4 linked regions of the Arabidopsis thaliana genome follow. The protein of the gene in region 1 interacts with the protein of each later gene in a pairwise test. Each region holds a gene or a part of one and is shown on either strand. Other genes may lie near its edges.

Evidence for each region.
Region 2: the proteins of AT3G53600 (region 1) and FBH4 interact in a two-hybrid assay, tested with the Arabidopsis thaliana proteins (one large-scale study listed by BioGRID).
Region 3: the proteins of AT3G53600 (region 1) and AT1G72210 interact in a two-hybrid assay, tested with the Arabidopsis thaliana proteins (one large-scale study listed by BioGRID).
Region 4: the proteins of AT3G53600 (region 1) and AT1G69170 interact in a two-hybrid assay, tested with the Arabidopsis thaliana proteins (one large-scale study listed by BioGRID).

The regions. Positions count from the first base shown.
Region 1 is NC_003074.8:19,873,707-19,876,708, reverse strand, and holds AT3G53600 (C2H2-type zinc finger family protein), read right to left. Parts: upstream 1,335-3,002; 5' UTR 1,178-1,334; coding exon 650-1,177; 3' UTR 532-649; downstream 1-531. Other genes in the region: RAB8 (RAB GTPase homolog 8), read left to right, coding at 95-178. UniProt on the Arabidopsis thaliana protein: Transcription factor involved in stress responses. Positive regulator of the jasmonic acid (JA)- mediated signaling pathway. Triggers the up-regulation of LOX3, VSP2, PAL1 and PAL2 in a JA-dependent manner.
Region 2 is NC_003071.7:17,610,964-17,615,336, reverse strand, and holds FBH4 (basic helix-loop-helix (bHLH) DNA-binding superfamily protein), read left to right. Parts: upstream 1-1,745; 5' UTR 1,746-2,173; coding exon 2,174-2,621; intron 2,622-2,885; coding exon 2,886-3,142; intron 3,143-3,248; coding exon 3,249-3,428; coding exon of another isoform or gene 3,429-3,446; exon of another isoform or gene 3,447-3,541; coding exon 3,542-3,607; intron 3,608-3,691; coding exon 3,692-3,823; downstream 3,824-4,373.
Region 3 is NC_003070.9:27,177,671-27,182,959, reverse strand, and holds AT1G72210 (basic helix-loop-helix (bHLH) DNA-binding superfamily protein), read right to left. Parts: upstream 3,503-5,289; 5' UTR 2,895-3,502; coding exon 2,427-2,894; intron 1,892-2,426; coding exon 1,493-1,891; coding exon of another isoform or gene 1,430-1,492; exon of another isoform or gene 788-1,429; coding exon 692-787; 3' UTR 504-691; downstream 1-503.
Region 4 is NC_003070.9:26,003,284-26,007,904, reverse strand, and holds AT1G69170 (Squamosa promoter-binding protein-like (SBP domain) transcription factor family protein), read right to left. Parts: upstream 2,838-4,621; 5' UTR 2,625-2,837; intron 2,456-2,624; 5' UTR 2,280-2,455; coding exon 1,771-2,279; intron 1,668-1,770; coding exon 1,531-1,667; intron 1,436-1,530; coding exon 864-1,435; 3' UTR 537-863; downstream 1-536. Other genes in the region: CRC (Plant-specific transcription factor YABBY family protein), read left to right, coding at 3-65, 145-171. UniProt on the Arabidopsis thaliana protein: Trans-acting factor that binds specifically to the consensus nucleotide sequence 5'-TNCGTACAA-3'.

The sequences.
Region 1 (3,002 bases):
GTCATCATTCATACATTGCAATTGTGGTAAAAATCACATTTCAGTATGTGTATCAACCTTACTAACGTCATCGAATTTCTTATCATTTTTGTAGCCGCAAACAATCAAAATCAACCAATCCGACCAAGGTGCGGGAACATCTCAAGCTACTCAGAAATCAGCATGTTGCGGCACATAAAAATTGGGTCCACGACGCCTGTCAAAGGAGAGAATCTGGCTAGTGAAAGAGAAATGGTATTTGGAAAGAAAAAATGAAAAAGGAAATCAATCTTCTTTTGCTTTTCTTCTATATGAGATGGTGTTTCTACGTATTCTTTTAAGATTCTCTCTTTCCCTAATGGTATAGTGTGACTGTGAAGGACACAATTCGTATTCCATATTTCTGGAATGGATTCTCTGACATCAGATTATGACTTATGATAATATCAGTTTATCTCACTCACACACCAATGATATTGGATTCTATGTATACATTCGAGAATGGTTCTGTTTCAAACTTTCAACTATTAATGTTTTATCACTCATTGCAAGAATTGAAACCTTTTATTCAAACAAATTGTGTATGCATACATGACGGAAAGAATGAAATAATGTGTAGCAAGAGAGAAAAAAACAACAACAAAAGTACAGAGAAAGGTTTAAAACCCTACTAATTCACAAACTTCAAATCAATTTGTGGAACCAAATTCTTCCCAAAGATTAACACAAGATCATTTTCCAATGGAGTTAGATTTAAGTCCAAGATCTCCTTGCTGCTACTGCAACGATTAAAAACCGGTCTGGAATAAACCACAGAAGGGACAATCGATTGCTCGGTTATCATGCTCGTCCTATGCTTTCTCATGTGACCGCCTAGAGCTTGACCGGTCCCAAACATTTGATCGCAAATTGTACACTTATGCATATCATTCTCTTTGTTACGATGCTTCACCTGTTCTTGGTCAACGATCAGCTTAGGTTTCTTGTGGCTAGCTCTATGACCTCCAAGAGCTTGGAAGGAATCAAATTTCCGGTTACACGTTTTGCATTCGAAGTGGTTATTATGGTTCGTTTTGCTTCCGGTAGATTGCTTTACATCGATTTGTTTGACCACGAAACTTCGAGATAACATCATTAGACTTTCTACTATGTCTATATGCTTCATGGATTCTTCGTAATCGGACCGGTCTCTCTTCATGTTTTTACGGTTGTATTTCGAAAAGAGAAAAGAGCACTATAGAGGGAATTAAAGATTTTGGGTTTTGGTTGGTCCACCTAGAAAATGTGAGACTTGTGAGATTAAGATCTTTGTAACGTATTCATGGAGTAATGTATTTATAAACAAAATAAAGAAAGTTTCAGAGGTTTTGACATTTTCTTACTTGACCAAAAAAAAAGTCTTCTTTAAACTTGGGTTCCTATCTAAATAAATTAAGCAGCATTGCTGGTTTGACAAGGACAACAAACACACAACGTGTTACATATTACCGACCACTAACAAGCCATATTTTATTTTGTTTGGTAACCGACAAGGCACATTATGTTAAATACGTATAAAGAATAATTCTCTTTCGTCTGTCTAACATGTTTAATATTATTTGTTGCACATTTTATTGTTGGCTTCGTGATTTTTTATTGACTTTGGAACGTTAATGAGCACGTGTAGAATATGAGAAAGAGTGGCTAAGAAGAACCAAAAGGAAGTCAAACTAAAAGTCAAATGATTGCATTCTTAAAAATCAAAATCTGACAACTGCTTTTCTCACCTAAAACACTATTTGATACCCTAAGGCCTAATCTATGTGTGTGATATAAGACATCATCAATGATGGAATCGTGACTGCGTTTAAACCGGATTTAGATTGTGGTTTAGACTTTAGATTAAAGAGTTGAAAGTCATTTGGACTGTCAATCGTGAGAGAGTATTATATGATCAACCAAGAATGTTGAATTCTTCAGGAACCTTATTTATGAAGTTTCAACTTTCAACATCTTCACACACACATTTATCGTAGAAATCTACTTTTTAAAAAAAAAAAACCCTGAAACTTAACCAACTAAAACCCAAATAGTACATGGGCTTAACTATAGCCCAATAACCTTTTTAATAAGCCACACGGCCCAACTTCTCTTTGCTTTGTTGCCTTTGCTTGTCTTCTTCGACTCTTCTTCTCCGACAAAGGAGGCGCGACGCCGTCTTTTCTTCTTCTTACCAGACTTGGGTCAGGGATAGTTTAATCAGCCAATACTGCAGAAATCATCTCGCCTTGGATGCTATTGATTTCAGAATGTATATGACCTCTCTACTCGATTTTGTTCCATCTATAACAATATCAGTTGGTCTGCTACTTTCATCTAGAGAATTGTTAAAACTAGTTCCAGCTTTGAAAATTAGCTGCATGGTAGCTACAATGCATTGCATTTCACCTTAAGGCTAAAGCAGTCATCTTTAGTTTCATCCAAAACTTTTTTGATGATCATCTTATTGGAGCTGAGTGGTTTTCTGACATTTCCAACCAAATTTGCAGCAACTGCATTTGTATGAATCAGAAAGGACTTTATTGATCTTATGAGGAGCTTAAGTAATTGGGCAGTGGTGAATGATGATAACCCAAAAAAGAAAGATTGGATGATAAAGACATGAAGAAAGTTTTATAGTTTGTGTCTTGTGTAGAATGGCTGCTCAAGTGGTCTATATAGTTTGGAAAGAAACAGATAGGGATTATCAGGTATTTTTGGATGGTCTTGGCCTTGGGAGGGTAAGGGATGCTCTATAACTCATTCCCAGGGCTACTTTTTGTTCTGTATTTGGTTTGTTCATGAATTGTTTCTATCTGTTGTAAATCAAACTTAAAGAGAAATATAAGAAAAATCAGTTCTAAAACTTATCAACTCAGTGGTGTTCTGAACAGCTATGTGTTAGTGTATGTTATGTTATTTTTCGTTCATCATTAATCACATTACCAATATTTTGATGCAGCAAATATATCTGGAAATTTGTCACCTGCTGTTATCTAATCTGT
Region 2 (4,373 bases), on another chromosome or scaffold:
TTCGTTAGTGATATAAAACAAAGTATCATCAGTATATAGCTAGTTTCGAGATAGTATGTACAACTTTTAAATATTAATTACCTATGCTTAAATAGTAATAGTATTATGTATGTGCATGTGCTTTGTACATACAATTTTGTCTTCTTGTTGATTAATTATTAAACAGCTCGAAGTTTTAAGACTATGTAGCTTAGCCTATGTCAATGTCATCAATCTATATGCAATATATATAGAGCCTCAGGCACATAAACCGTAGTCCCCATATAAAAAAGGGAATGAAACAGCTAATAACTCCATAGAGAATAAATTCACATTCAAAGCAAATTCACCACCCCAATCTTCTCAATGGTTCGGTTTCTTTTTTCAATTCTTACATTGTACTAAAAGCTAAAAATTCAGACTGATACGATACGAATAGGTTTTTGAAAATATAAAAATTAATCAATTTCCATTAAAGGGCTGAATAGCTAAAAACTCCATAGAGAACAAGTCGCTTTATTGGATTTAGATTTTAAAAAGACGGCGCTCGTGAATTATTAAAGTTTAAACTAAGATAAGATTTAAAGAGATTTAGAGGAGACGTAATCTGGTGTATATCGTTCACATAGAGTCACGTCACTGTATAATCCATCGACCACTAAGGTTTTAGAGTTTAGTTTCAAATCTTACTTTTTCATGCAGGTGTACCGTATGTCACACAGATTATAGTAGTCGCCAACTTACGTTCCCAATGGGTGATAACGGCGTCAACGTCCTCCGTCACGATCGTGTCGTAAGCTGTACACTGTATAGGTTCCGTGAACCTTAAAATCGGATTTGGAAAGCTACGTACGTACGTAAATATTGGTTAAAAAGTTCAAACAGTTTTGATCTCTCTTTTATTACAAACAAACTGTACTTCCGACAATTTTCTTTCTTTCTATTTCAAGTACGTTTTCGTGTCTAACTATATTAACATCTAACTTCTGACTTTTATACTCTGATGGGACAATCTTTAATTCTTAAATTCTAAGTTGTACCATGCGAATGGATATTAGATTTTGTCAGTACAATTGCTGACTATGAATGAAGTACTCTAACATCATTATTGGTTCCTGAATAATGAGTACTTAAACAAAACAAATTTGAAGTAACGTAACCATGACATATTAGATCCATGTCCCCTAAAACGTATTAAAATTATTTCCTTACGTCGTTAAATTTCGAATCTAGTGTTAAATTGTTACATTGGTTGTTAAACTACCGACCCAATAAAAAAAAAGAAACTAATATTTATGATTGGTGCATCTTGTTGTAAATTGTAATCGTATGGCCTACCAGCGATTTCATTGTCCCCAACATACAGATATTTTTGTTCGTGTGTTATAAATTAGGGTAGAAACATCACATATTTTACAGAGACAAAGAAAAAAACAAGAATCGTAATAAAATGATATTATGGATACATGTAGATTATAAGATGAGAAATAATAATTTGTCACGGGTCCATCAGTATACTCGTCAAAATTGATTAGGTAGGTAATTTACTTCACATGCTCTTCCTGTATACAAGTATAAAGTATGTATTTTCATCTAAAATCTACTCTTTTCTCAATTACATTTTATATAGAAAAATTCATATTCTTAAGAAATAGTAGTAAAATTGTTCTTGAAAAAAAATATGAAAAGGCATTTTCCGTGACTCAGCCTCACAGGCGGCTTAAAACGACGTCTTTTTCAATTTTAATAAATTTTTGGTAAAAAAGCTTTTGGATCCGCCGCTATCTTCAGCAATTAAAGTTGGACGCAGAAACTCAGAAGCAAAAAGACGATAAATATTCATCATCACCTTCATCTCTCTCTTCCTCTCATCAGACTTCACCGTTCTTCTTTCTCTCTTCTTCATCTTCAGACGAAACCTCCTTTACTTCCCCTTCAAGGTTTTATATTTCCCAAATCCTACACCTGCTCACATCTCAAGCTCAAGTTTTGTTTTCCCGGGAAAAGTGACACAAACAAGAACTTAACAAGGGAGAAGAAAAAGCTTATATTCATATCAACGGTTGACGTTGGAAAGCTATTAAGATTTGGTTTTCTACAAATTTGTTCTTCCTGAAACGTCACGAGACAGAGCTTACAAGAAGAGAAAACAGAGGAAATTTCGTTGCATTTTTTTTACATATTGATTCGATTAATGGATTCAAATAATCATCTCTACGACCCGAATCCCACCGGGTCGGGTCTTCTTCGTTTTAGATCAGCTCCGAGCTCTGTTCTCGCCGCTTTTGTTGACGACGACAAGATTGGTTTCGACTCCGATAGGTTGCTTTCAAGATTCGTGACCTCTAATGGCGTTAACGGAGATCTGGGTTCACCTAAATTCGAGGATAAGTCTCCGGTTTCGTTAACGAACACCTCTGTTTCATACGCCGCCACTCTGCCGCCACCGCCGCAGCTTGAGCCGTCGAGTTTTCTGGGTTTGCCGCCGCATTACCCGAGGCAGAGTAAAGGGATAATGAACTCGGTTGGTTTGGATCAGTTTCTCGGTATCAATAATCATCACACCAAACCAGTTGAATCTAATCTTCTCCGTCAAAGCAGCTCTCCAGCCGGAATGTTTACTAATCTCTCTGACCAAAACGGTACCGTTTTGCTCTCTGCTACAAAGTTTTTCCCCCTTTTTTTAGTCTGAAATATTTTTTTCATTTATAACAGAAGTGTTTTTGGTACTTCTTGATTCAACTTTTTTGAATGTTTTAACACTTGCTTCAAGATTTTTGAATGTTTTACGTTCCTTGAGAATAATTTTAAGACAAGATCTGATTTGATTTTGTCAACCATAGAGTTAAAGCACTTTGGACTCAACAAATCTAATAAGTGTTTACTATATACTTACAAATTTGCAGGTTATGGTTCAATGAGGAATTTGATGAATTACGAAGAAGATGAAGAGAGTCCATCTAATTCCAATGGATTAAGACGCCATTGCAGTCTCTCTTCAAGGCCACCTTCTTCACTTGGAATGCTTTCTCAAATACCTGAAATCGCACCCGAAACTAATTTTCCATATAGCCATTGGAATGATCCATCCAGCTTTATTGATAACTTATCCTCACTTAAAAGAGAAGCCGAGGACGATGGAAAATTGTTTCTCGGAGCTCAGGTAACTCGGTTATCTAACCGGTTTGTTTTGGTTATTGATCAGTAGCTGAAAGTGGAGTTGATTTCTTGGAGTGGTTTCTAATGATGTTTTTGATGGGTTTCTACAGAACGGAGAGTCCGGGAATCGTATGCAGTTACTGTCGCATCATTTGAGCCTACCAAAGTCATCATCGACAGCCTCGGACATGGTTTCAGTGGATAAGTATCTTCAGCTACAAGATTCTGTTCCTTGTAAAATCAGAGCCAAACGTGGTTGCGCTACACATCCTCGAAGCATCGCTGAACGGGTAACTTCACCTAGTTAAGGCCATCTTTACATATATCAATGGAAGTCCATTTGAAGCAGAATCTAGTTTGTTTTCAGAAAGCCTTTCCTAAGAAATCTTGTCAATTGTGTCAGGTAAGAAGAACGCGGATAAGCGAGCGAATGAGGAAGTTACAAGAGCTTGTTCCTAACATGGACAAGGTACAGTTTTCAGGAACTTCCTTGTAATGACTTTTGATCATAAACAAATTGTTAAATGATGTTGTTTTCTTTATGTTTTAACAGCAAACCAACACTTCGGATATGTTGGATTTAGCTGTGGATTACATCAAAGATTTACAAAGACAGTATAAGGTAAAGTTCCTGATCATTGTGGAAAAAAAACAAAGGGGCCTGTTTAGTCTTCTGTTGAATTGATTTAGTCTTCTGTTGGTTTTACACAGATTTTAAACGACAACAGAGCTAACTGTAAGTGTATGAACAAGGAGAAGAAGTCAATATAGGGCGCAACAAAGTGTGTAGTAGATAGGACTAAAAAGCAGGGAGAAGGACAAGAAAGAAACAATGTCATGTCTGAATATTTTTTAGCCGAAACAGACCAAATTGTCTATGTAAGCTCTCGAGAAAAGCATCTGCTTCCAACAAAATTCTAAGTAATAAAATAGTACTCGATTTGTTCTTATTTCATTATTACAATGCAGAATCTACTAATCAAATGTTGTACTACAAAAGGTAAGATCAACTACGGTAGCTAAATGCGAAAATTATGACCAGAAGAACAAAGAAAGACTCGAAAACTAAGCAGAAAACATAAATTATTCTTCCATGTGATCTGCAGCGTCAGAATCTTTGATATCACCAGTAAGACTACTCCTGGTCACAACCAAAGTAAGAATCACACATGAAGTAGAGTGTATACGACTTCTCTCCTGGTTCAGTTGGTACTGCAAACTCCAGCTACGATGCA
Region 3 (5,289 bases), on another chromosome or scaffold:
ATCTCCCTTTTGCGAATGTGCAAATATAGTTTTAAACTATGTTTGCTTACCCAAAAACTAGTGGTGGATTGAGTCTGAAAAGTCTCTCCGATTAGAACTTAAGTGTTCTCCGACCCCAGACTAGATTATTATTTACGATCGTATATGTGGCCCTTTGCGGGTGTCTTAGATGTCATGGGTGTTCAAAACATCTGATTCAGACCATGAGAGTCTCATCAAACTTTTTTCTTAATTAGCGCATATTTAGACATTACTTCACAAAATATACTATTCTAACTAATTCCTTCTTAAACGAACCGTGCAAAGCCGGTTATTCACGATATACCGAGTCTTTTAGGGACGCCTTCACATGACTCATACCGGTATATTTATATAAGTGTGGTTGAATTTTTTTCAGCTATCTCATAACCAGTCAAATTGTTCAAGCCTTTTTTTTATGTGTGGGAAAATTCAATTGCTCAAGCTTATAATTACTATTCTCGTATAGAGCTCTTAAAAGCTAGTTCCTCTTTTGTGATCAGGTCTAAAAGGTCAATCACACAAAAACTCCAATATATAATGCATTAGAATTAACGTTAACAAAAAGAAAAAGGAAATTTATATTATTTAATATATGAAAAAGAGAGAGCAAAAGATCACACATGAAAAATTAGAGCTCCTCTAAATGTGCCATAACTAAAATTCAACAATACTAGCTAAAGGATGACTCTTCTTCGATCCTCCTTAGGATTTGATTCACAGCTGCTGCAATATCTTCTACTGTATTCAATTGGCTCCCTTCTTCAACCTGAATAAACCCATTATTTTAATATTTTCTTTTAAGTTACATGAAAAAGATTGATATATAGTCATTGAAAAGGTAAAAAGATGATTAAAGAAAATGTTTATATTTCGAGGAAGAAGCTTATGAATGTGTCCTGAAACAAGTGGCGTCATTTCGTTCTGCCGTGCACAGTGCATCCACAGTGTTGTGACCACCAAACATGCCCAGTACACATATATATATACACACATTCACACATGTGTAGGCATATGTCATCTTTTTGGTCCCTGATTCTTACAAGAATCAATATTATGATAGTACTCAAAATTTTGTCTTTTTTAATAAATAAGAAATGATGATTTTGACCCCCCAATAATTGAGGCCAGCCCTAACCAAGTAAAAAAGAACGAGAAAAAAGGAACGATTTTTATTTTTGTTCTTGGAAAACCTTTTTTGGCCCAGACAAATAATTCACAACATGTACTAATAAGAGACACATTAAATGCACAAAACATTTGTGATTGGAAAAACAATCAATGAATAATCATTGAACCAAAACCAACAATGGGAGTAATGATTAGTCACCCATTAATTATTAGATACCAATTTAATTTGAATTTGCAAATTCAACCCACTAACCCTAAACAACGGTATTATATAACATGATCACTCTAATCTGGTTAGGAAAAAAAAAACAAAAAATGGTGAAAAAGAGAGAAAAAAATGTACCTTGACGCTGATGGAATAGAGGACGGAGTCGTCTCGAGTTGTGACGTTTAGATGGAGAAGAGTGAGCCTTAGGCTCTGTATCGATGAGACCAGTTTAAGAAGCTGTCTCGGTCTCTTTTTCGCAAGTATTTTCAGACTCGCATGGCTCTCTACCATCGTTACCTCTATCTCCGCCATCCCCTCAGCCGCCGCCGCAGAGGTAGGCCGGTTCGAGTACTGAGGAAATGCAAAGAAATCCGAGAATGGTCCCGACGAACTAGCCGAGGTTGTTTTGGTCTGGTCGTGGCCGGCTCCGGTGTCTTCTGTGGCGGTCTTAACCGGAGGTTCCATTGATTGTAAATGATGCTCAAGCTCCTTTAAGTAGTTAATGGCTCCGCCTACTATCGATGCTTGATCTCCCTTTAACCACCACCAACCTTATGTTAGTCTAGCACATAGAAATTGCAAAAGGTTTTGCAAAAACAATCAAACATGTCTATATTTCGTACCTTAATTTTTTAAAAAATATATTATGTCACCATCTCATTATAAATCTATAATATGTATAGTCCTTTTTGGGTGCAATGATGTTCAAGACTTTATTTATGCTCCCACAATTCCACTAACAAAATTTTCATTTAGAGACTACATGATCTAATAAAATTATGAAAAAAAGAAATAACGACTTTCGTTTAGTTTTTATTTTTTGTCAATATATATAACGGCTTTCATTCATCTATCATCATTCTCAAATTTATATTTCAAAACATATAAACATACATGCATATGACATATCTATGTATAGCCTATGCATGTCCTAATTAGCTGAAAGCCTAGAACATAGGCTTTGCTTTTTTTTTTTTTTTTTGACACGTCAAGAAATACAGCTAAAGGACTGAATATTTCACGCGCTCACACTCACATATACATATAACTGTTGTATGTAGAGACTAACCCTTTGAGCATAATAAGGTGGCATGAGAGACCGGAGAACGGCGAGGTACTCGTTCATCTGTTTCCGGCGATTTCTTTCAACGGCGATGTGAGTCATCCTCTGGTTCTCGATCTCTTCTTTGTTCTTGCTACTCCTCGTCCTCCTCCTTTTCCTCCTCCCTCCTCCCGCCGCCACATCCGACGGTGGAGGCTGGCTCTCGGTGTCGACGGCAGATCCATAAGGAAGGTCTCGTGGCCATTGGAGATCCTCTTCGTTGTAATTATAATCATCACTATAATCTCCGGTTCTACCGTTGTAATTATTACTCGCAAAACCATGTCCTTGTCCTTGCCCTAGCTTAATGTTGTTCTTAGTATCTTGTGGATCTTGATCTTCTTCTTCTTGAAAGTATAAGTCGTAAAACGGAAAATCTTTGCAAGAGATGTAGGAGAACGGATCTTGCGGGTAAACTACAGCCTCCAAGGCCATAATTAGCTAGAAAATTGCTTGAAATATTAAAATTACACTTGAATATGAAAAGGTTTCCAGCGAGAGAGAAAAAGAGAGGAAAAAAAAAGAGGACAGAAAGTGTTTCTCTTTCTCTTTTTGTCTCGAGAGGGAGACAAGGCAAAAGGTAAAGACACTCTAGGGAAATTAAACTTGTAATTATCCCTCTACAAGAAAGAAAAAAAATCAACAGAAATTTGTTCTCAAAGAACTAAGTAAACTTGAAGAAGAAAAGACAAGAGAAGTACTCAAAAAAAGGTCAAACAAAGTTGTGGTTTGATCTATGGAATAGAGGAGAAGCTTGTGAGGTTATAAAGCTGATTTAACAATAGAAGGTCCGAAGAAAATCGAAACCAACTGAGTTCAGAAAAAGTAGAGATATAGAGAGAGAGAGATCGTGTATGTTTGGTTTTGCACGTGAGATTGTAGACCGGTCCACAAAACCAAAGAAAAGATTCTGTGTGTTTTTGCAGGCTTTGGGGTTCGTCTTGTTACACTCATGTTCGAAGAGAGAGAAATTATAACATGTTGAAATATCAACTTTATACGTTGCCATGAATTTAATATTTTTTTGCCGTATACCATGTGAGTCAAAATGTAATCTAATGAAAGCTATATCCCAAAATTTAGAGTGTTTGCGGTGATAATTATGTCGTCTATCCTCTTTTAGGTATTCAAACAATAATTTGCTTCTATTGTGCGTGTGTAACGCGTATTGATGGACAGGAAGAGGAAAGAGAGCTTGACATCAAAGTTTTTTTTTGTTTCTATGTATCAGCCGACGTCAAAGCTTTATAAATTCGAAATCTAAAGGCTTATTTATACGAGTATTTTTTCCCCGAACCATGCGGAGACAATGACCGCTGATTTATTCTTTTTATATGAAATCATATCGTTTATCACATAACCCTACCCGTAATGGAATAACCGTAAAAAAACATCAAGACCATGCATGGGTCCGAAAGCATATTGCCTTTATATAGATACAACTCTTGGAAATCACGATTTGTAGAGTAAAAAATAAATTTTAAATCAATAAATGTGCTTAATTAATTTTACAATCTATCAACTAGTTTTTGATTAGTAAATTTTGGCTTTTAAAGTAATAGAATCCTGATGACAACTTAGAGTAAATATTATAATTTCGTAGCAGTAACATTCGTTCAATAGTTTAAATTTTATATAGGAGAGAAATGTTGAGAGACAAAAAAAAAAGGAGAGAAATGTTGAGAAAATCATCTTCATCAATCATCATACATGATAAATGTTAATATATTAAATAAATAAATAAAAACAGAACAAAAATGTATTTTGAAGGAAATGAAATTTACTGTTAATGAATTTTCTAAAATAAACTTTTAGTTTGGGGCAAAGTGAATAATACTATAACTTGTTGGTCGTGCGATTGAATGCAATTACTCGGTGGTAAACTATTTTATACCGCCGAAAAATGGTTAATATATATATATATATATATATATATTGTCACAAAATTTATAGTAAAAAAAGAAATAATAGTAACAACAATATCATATAATTTGAAAATATGTGTTCTTTTTTTAAAACAAGATAATATTAGAAAACATTTAAAATATTAAGATTAGAAGACATTTAAAATATGTAAATTTGTCTTAAAAATATATTTTCAACTGTCTGGTTCCCATGTCTTTGATACTTAAAAACAACTGTTTAAAAAAAAAAAAAAAAAAAACTTACGTGGATATTGATTAAGAAACAGAAATTGAGAGATAAAAATTACTCGACTATGCAAGTTTCGAATGTTCGTAAAATGATGATGATCAAACCATATTCAACTCAAAAACCTGATCTTCCAATCTTGTACAAAAAGAATCCCTGATCTTCCAACTGATGATGGGAATTAAACACTCACATTTGCATTCAATCCACTTAGACGGACAAATTTGATCATAGAAAAAATTCACGGATAAAAATAAGAATAACATTTCGGCGTGTGGGGTAATGCTTTATTAATGTAATCATGTCATGCTTAAAACAAAGTATTCTTGATGTTGACATATGTAAGAATAAGAGACGATATCCCAACTTAATTTGTATATTAACTAGGTGGCATCTTTCCATTAGTCTAATTAATAATTATCGAACTTTTATGCGGTATAGAAGATGTGAGAATTAGATGGCTATGACACGACTTAGGGTTGCTGTGTAACAAAGTTGTTTGGTCGCTTTAACCAATAGAGGGAAGCAACAACTTAAATATGTGATGCAAAACGAAATCTAAGCGAAAAATCATTTGATCGAAACTCGAAAGAATCCCACTATTTAGAAACACGGTGGAAAATAAATCTAAGGCTATGATACTCTTGTCTCCTTTAAGTCCGTGTACCTCTAGTTTTTA
Region 4 (4,621 bases), on another chromosome or scaffold:
AGTGGGCTAAGTACATACCCAACTCTCCTACTTCCATTACTTCCGGAGGCCACAACATGATCCATGTAAGCTATACAAACTAAGTCTGCATAAGGACATATTTATATACATTATATAAAGATTTAAAATGTTTTGTTCAATTAGGGCTTGGGATTCGGTGAGAAGAAGTGAACAAAACTCAGGGGAAAAGAAGCCTAAAAATAACAAACGCATGCACGTGTGCGAGTGGCTGCGTCGTTTTTCTCATCTTGTGTTGTTCTTCTGTGTAATTTTCTTATGTATGTCATGTTGCAGAAAATGATGTTGCCTTAGTTTTTATGACTTTATATTTCTGTCTGTCTTTAGATTTGAAAGTAACGTCACTTGCTATGTCCCTTTGGACGTTTATGTCTGGTCTTTATTTGTCTTAATCCTATCAAAATTTTATATGCGTATTCCTTAATTCCATCTGGGACACTTTTTCTTTTCCCCAATGATTTGCAACTTTCAACATCGTAACTTCGAACTCGAGAATCTCAGATCAGTCCTCAGATGACGTGAGTGTACAGAACAAAACAAAACAAAAGTAAAAATTCACTTTTTCAGCGAATATTCATTACATGTATATATACAAATTGTCTGTAACGCTGTGAAAAGGAAGTAGGCATAGATATCTGAAGCAATTTTCTTCAGAACATTATTGACTGGTGAATAATAACACAACAGTTACAAATTACAATAATACGTGTAACATGATCTGATCCTCTTAATTCCTCTATCTAATCACAAACTAATCAAGCCATGCAGGCTTGTCTTGTCCTTCTGCAGAACAATCTCAAGAAACTCGAACCGGTTTAAAGGAATAAGAATGTTGTAACCTTTTATTAGGAGCCAGGGAAATAAAGCTCATTATATTCCTGCTTCACATCACCAGTGTAATTCCTCTGTTGCTCGATTCTTTGAAGATGTGATGACAGTTGCAGTAGATCAACCGTGGATGTTCCTTTTCCTTTACAAGAACTAGAACCAGCAGAATTGGTCTTGCCAGGATCGATCCACAACGGTTGTTCCATCTGATGATAGTCAGTTGATGATGAGTGATTGAGATTTTGGTTGGGTTGGGTGATTGAGAACGTTGTGTTTGGAAACTTAGACAAGTGTTGTTGGGACTGAGCTGACAGAAGAGAGAGAGCACGAGTAGAGCGTGATGCCGCCGTCTCATGTAAGTCCCAAATGGAGGATACTTCCGTGGAATAAATTGCTGGTTTAGATTCATAAGTTCTGCTGCTGTTTTGCTCATTAGTAGGAAACATGGAACAAGTAGGTTCATCTTTGAAACTCACGAGTCTACTTGTACGGTGGTCGTCTTCATCTATTACTCTGTATAAGAGACTACCAGGAAATGACTCTGGCAATACCAATGATGAATTCTCCAGAAACTTGTTGCCTACTACATCTATGGAAGATCATAAAATACAGAATAGATTCAAATTTGCACGAGTTTGCTAATTCAATACATCAATGGATAGGGAAAAGGCAGAGAGTGAGTACCTTGAGAGGTGCGAAGAAGCTTATGGCGCTTACCCGGTAGGAAATAGAATGCAGGTTTCCTTCTTCGTTCATTGTGACCGGCTAATCGCCTTCTGCAACTTCTTTTGCCATCATCAAACTCTGAGAGGAAATGAAACCTGAACAGAAGAAAAAGGTAAAAGAAACAAACGATCAAGATCCATCAAGAACATTGAAATGACTACAGAGCATGAGACAACTTGAGAGGAGAAAGAATAAAACCTGCTGCACTGTTGACAAAACCTCTGTTCAAGACCATTAACTATGACCACAGAAGTTTTCGAATGAGCCTCGCAAACTCTATGCCTTTTGTGGTAATCTTTCGAAGAGCTCAGATCCTTACTACACCCATAAACTTGACACAAGGGATTCTGAGAGCACAAGTTTGAAGCTCGAGACTTTTTAGATGGCAGAGCAAAACCTCTAGAGGATGTATCATCATCATCATTTCCTAAATCCAAAAAGCTCCTAAGTTTGAAATCTATCCTATTCAATTCCTGACTAGAGAACTTTGAAGAAGAAGATATGTTCTCCTCATCTTCCTCTTCAGGAACAACTTTAGTAATAGAAACAGCACTGAATCCATTGGAGTTACCAGCCATGTCAGAAATCAACACATCATCATTATTAGAGAGTCTCTGTTCAAATCTTCTATTCTTAGCAAAAGTATCACAAGGTAAAAGAGTTTCATTTGACATGAAAACGCTTCTCCCGTAGCTCCAAGAATCCATCAGCAACACTATAATCAATTTCTGCTTTCTTCAACGACAACTAGCAATTCAATAACTGATGCAGAAACCCTAAAGGAGGAAGCTTTCTTCTAAATAGAGAAAACCCAAGACGACGATTCACTTATTCCTTCGATTAACACAAAACCCAGATAGAAATTGACGAAAAGATTCAAACCCTAACAAGAAACAAAGATAAAAATCAATACTTTATCAAGAAAGCAATCACACAACATGATCATCAGTGGAACAAATAAATTAAGACGAAATTTTCGAGTTTCTTATCTTCCATCTAATGCAATTGAGGTGAACGAAATCATAAACAGAGGATCGAAGAATAAGACTTACCGATTAGAGGAACAGAGAAGAACTGTGTATAGGAAGCAAGCAAAAGAGACAGAGAGGTGGAGAAAATATAAGAAAAGTGAAAAATGGGGAATCGAAGGAATAAGGTGAGAGGTGACGTCGAAGCAGATACTGTTTGGGGTCAACATGATTTCCACTAAACCCATCTTCTTCTCCACTTCTCTCTCTCTTTTGCTTCTTTTTTTTTTTTCTTTTTCTATTCTTCATCCTGTAAATTTTATTTGTGTTTGTTTTCCGACACTATTTTGTTCGATCAAGTAAAAGTAAAAAAACAAAAAAAAAAAGTAGAAGTAAAAAAGTTTCTATAGAAATCGAATTTAAGAATGGAGAAGTTGACGTCATGCCTCCTATTTTTTACCATCAAAATTAGTGATAAAACTAATTTTAGGTTTATTTAGTTTAGTGTTATTGCTATGTTAAAACTAACCTAATAAACTTTGTACACATTTTTTTTTTTGATGATGCTTTCGGAACAGCACCTAAACAAAATCTTGGTTGAGTCACAAATAACATACAAATAATACGGTGGCAATGTGGCATGTATTCACACTGTAGACGAACAGCCAAAATTATGTGTTCACACTATCTCGAACAAATGTTAAATGATGATATAAATATGTTGACGACAATCAAAACCAATGAAGAATTTAGAATTCACAATGAACATCGTCCAAAGCGAAAGTTTATAATTTTGGGTTATATTCTAGATTATATTCTAACAAACACGTTTTGGTTAATTATTTTGTTTGTTGGCGGCTTTGAAATGGTAAAGATTAAGAAAAAAAAGAAATACACAACATGGGGAAGCGTATTTTATATAGCAATTTGAAAACATTTGTTTAAGGGCTTAATCTTCTTAAATAAATCGGTTTCAATAAGAATATATATCCAAATTAAAGCATAAGTTAGAAGAAGAATGTATGGGGGGGTTTCCTCAAAAGAAAAAGAAACTTTGGGGTTGCAAAAAGAATAAATAAAATATTAGAGAATCAGCGAGTTGAAGAGATTGGTGGTGGAGCGTGTGTAGACAAAGCCTTCTGACGCTACCCAAACCTTTTGCTTTATTACAAAATCAACCCTTTTCTTTTTTCTTTTTGGTGGGAGCCAGAGCATATCTTGTTGGCCAACCAACCGCACTTTTCAGGTGATGGAATCTAAAGCTAAGTCCTAATTACTTAACACTTGTTTGCTATTAATACTTCTTCTGTAAAATTATAACTTTTTAAGTTTATATAGTTAGATCGGTTCTCATATATTACTATGTAGAAGTTGTAAGTATATTCGATCGTACATTATGTGTGTATCTGAATCTGATCATAGACTTAAAAGTTAAAAAATTAAAACAAACGGATATGTGAAAAAGAGTTGTTTGTTGGTTCCAATTTTGCAAAGCCAGGTCCATCAATTTACGTAGCATAGCAAAGACGTATTTCAAGCCCATTAATTACGGCCCAGCGGGGTCTCTTCCATTTTCACGAAAACTCTCAAAAGATTTCAAACATACTATTCCATGAATCATGATGTAACAGTTACTGTGCAGAGTGCAGACAATGGAGTGTGCACCAAAAAGATTGGCCATGATTTCTATCATTGTATTTGAGAACGATAGAAAGTTCAGGTTCTAACTTTACATTTTAGATCGAAGACCAGAGTTTGTTTTTTATTCAAATTAGACATAAGAAAAGGAAAAAAACTGAACCAAATATTTTGTGATCCAAACAAAATTTCCTTTAACCACATGGAATTTTCTTTAACCACATGACTAATAATACCGAAACGCAATTGAATTTAGTATAATCGGTCCAAATCGAATAATAAATAAAAATTTGTTGAAATTACATGTGTGACAACATATATGACGTTAGTTATTATCTCACCTAACAAAACTCCAAACATACTATTTTAAGTGTCTTTATTTGTAAGATTAATTTTACTTTGCATAATTACCTCAACTTTATGATAATCACATGTTTGGACCC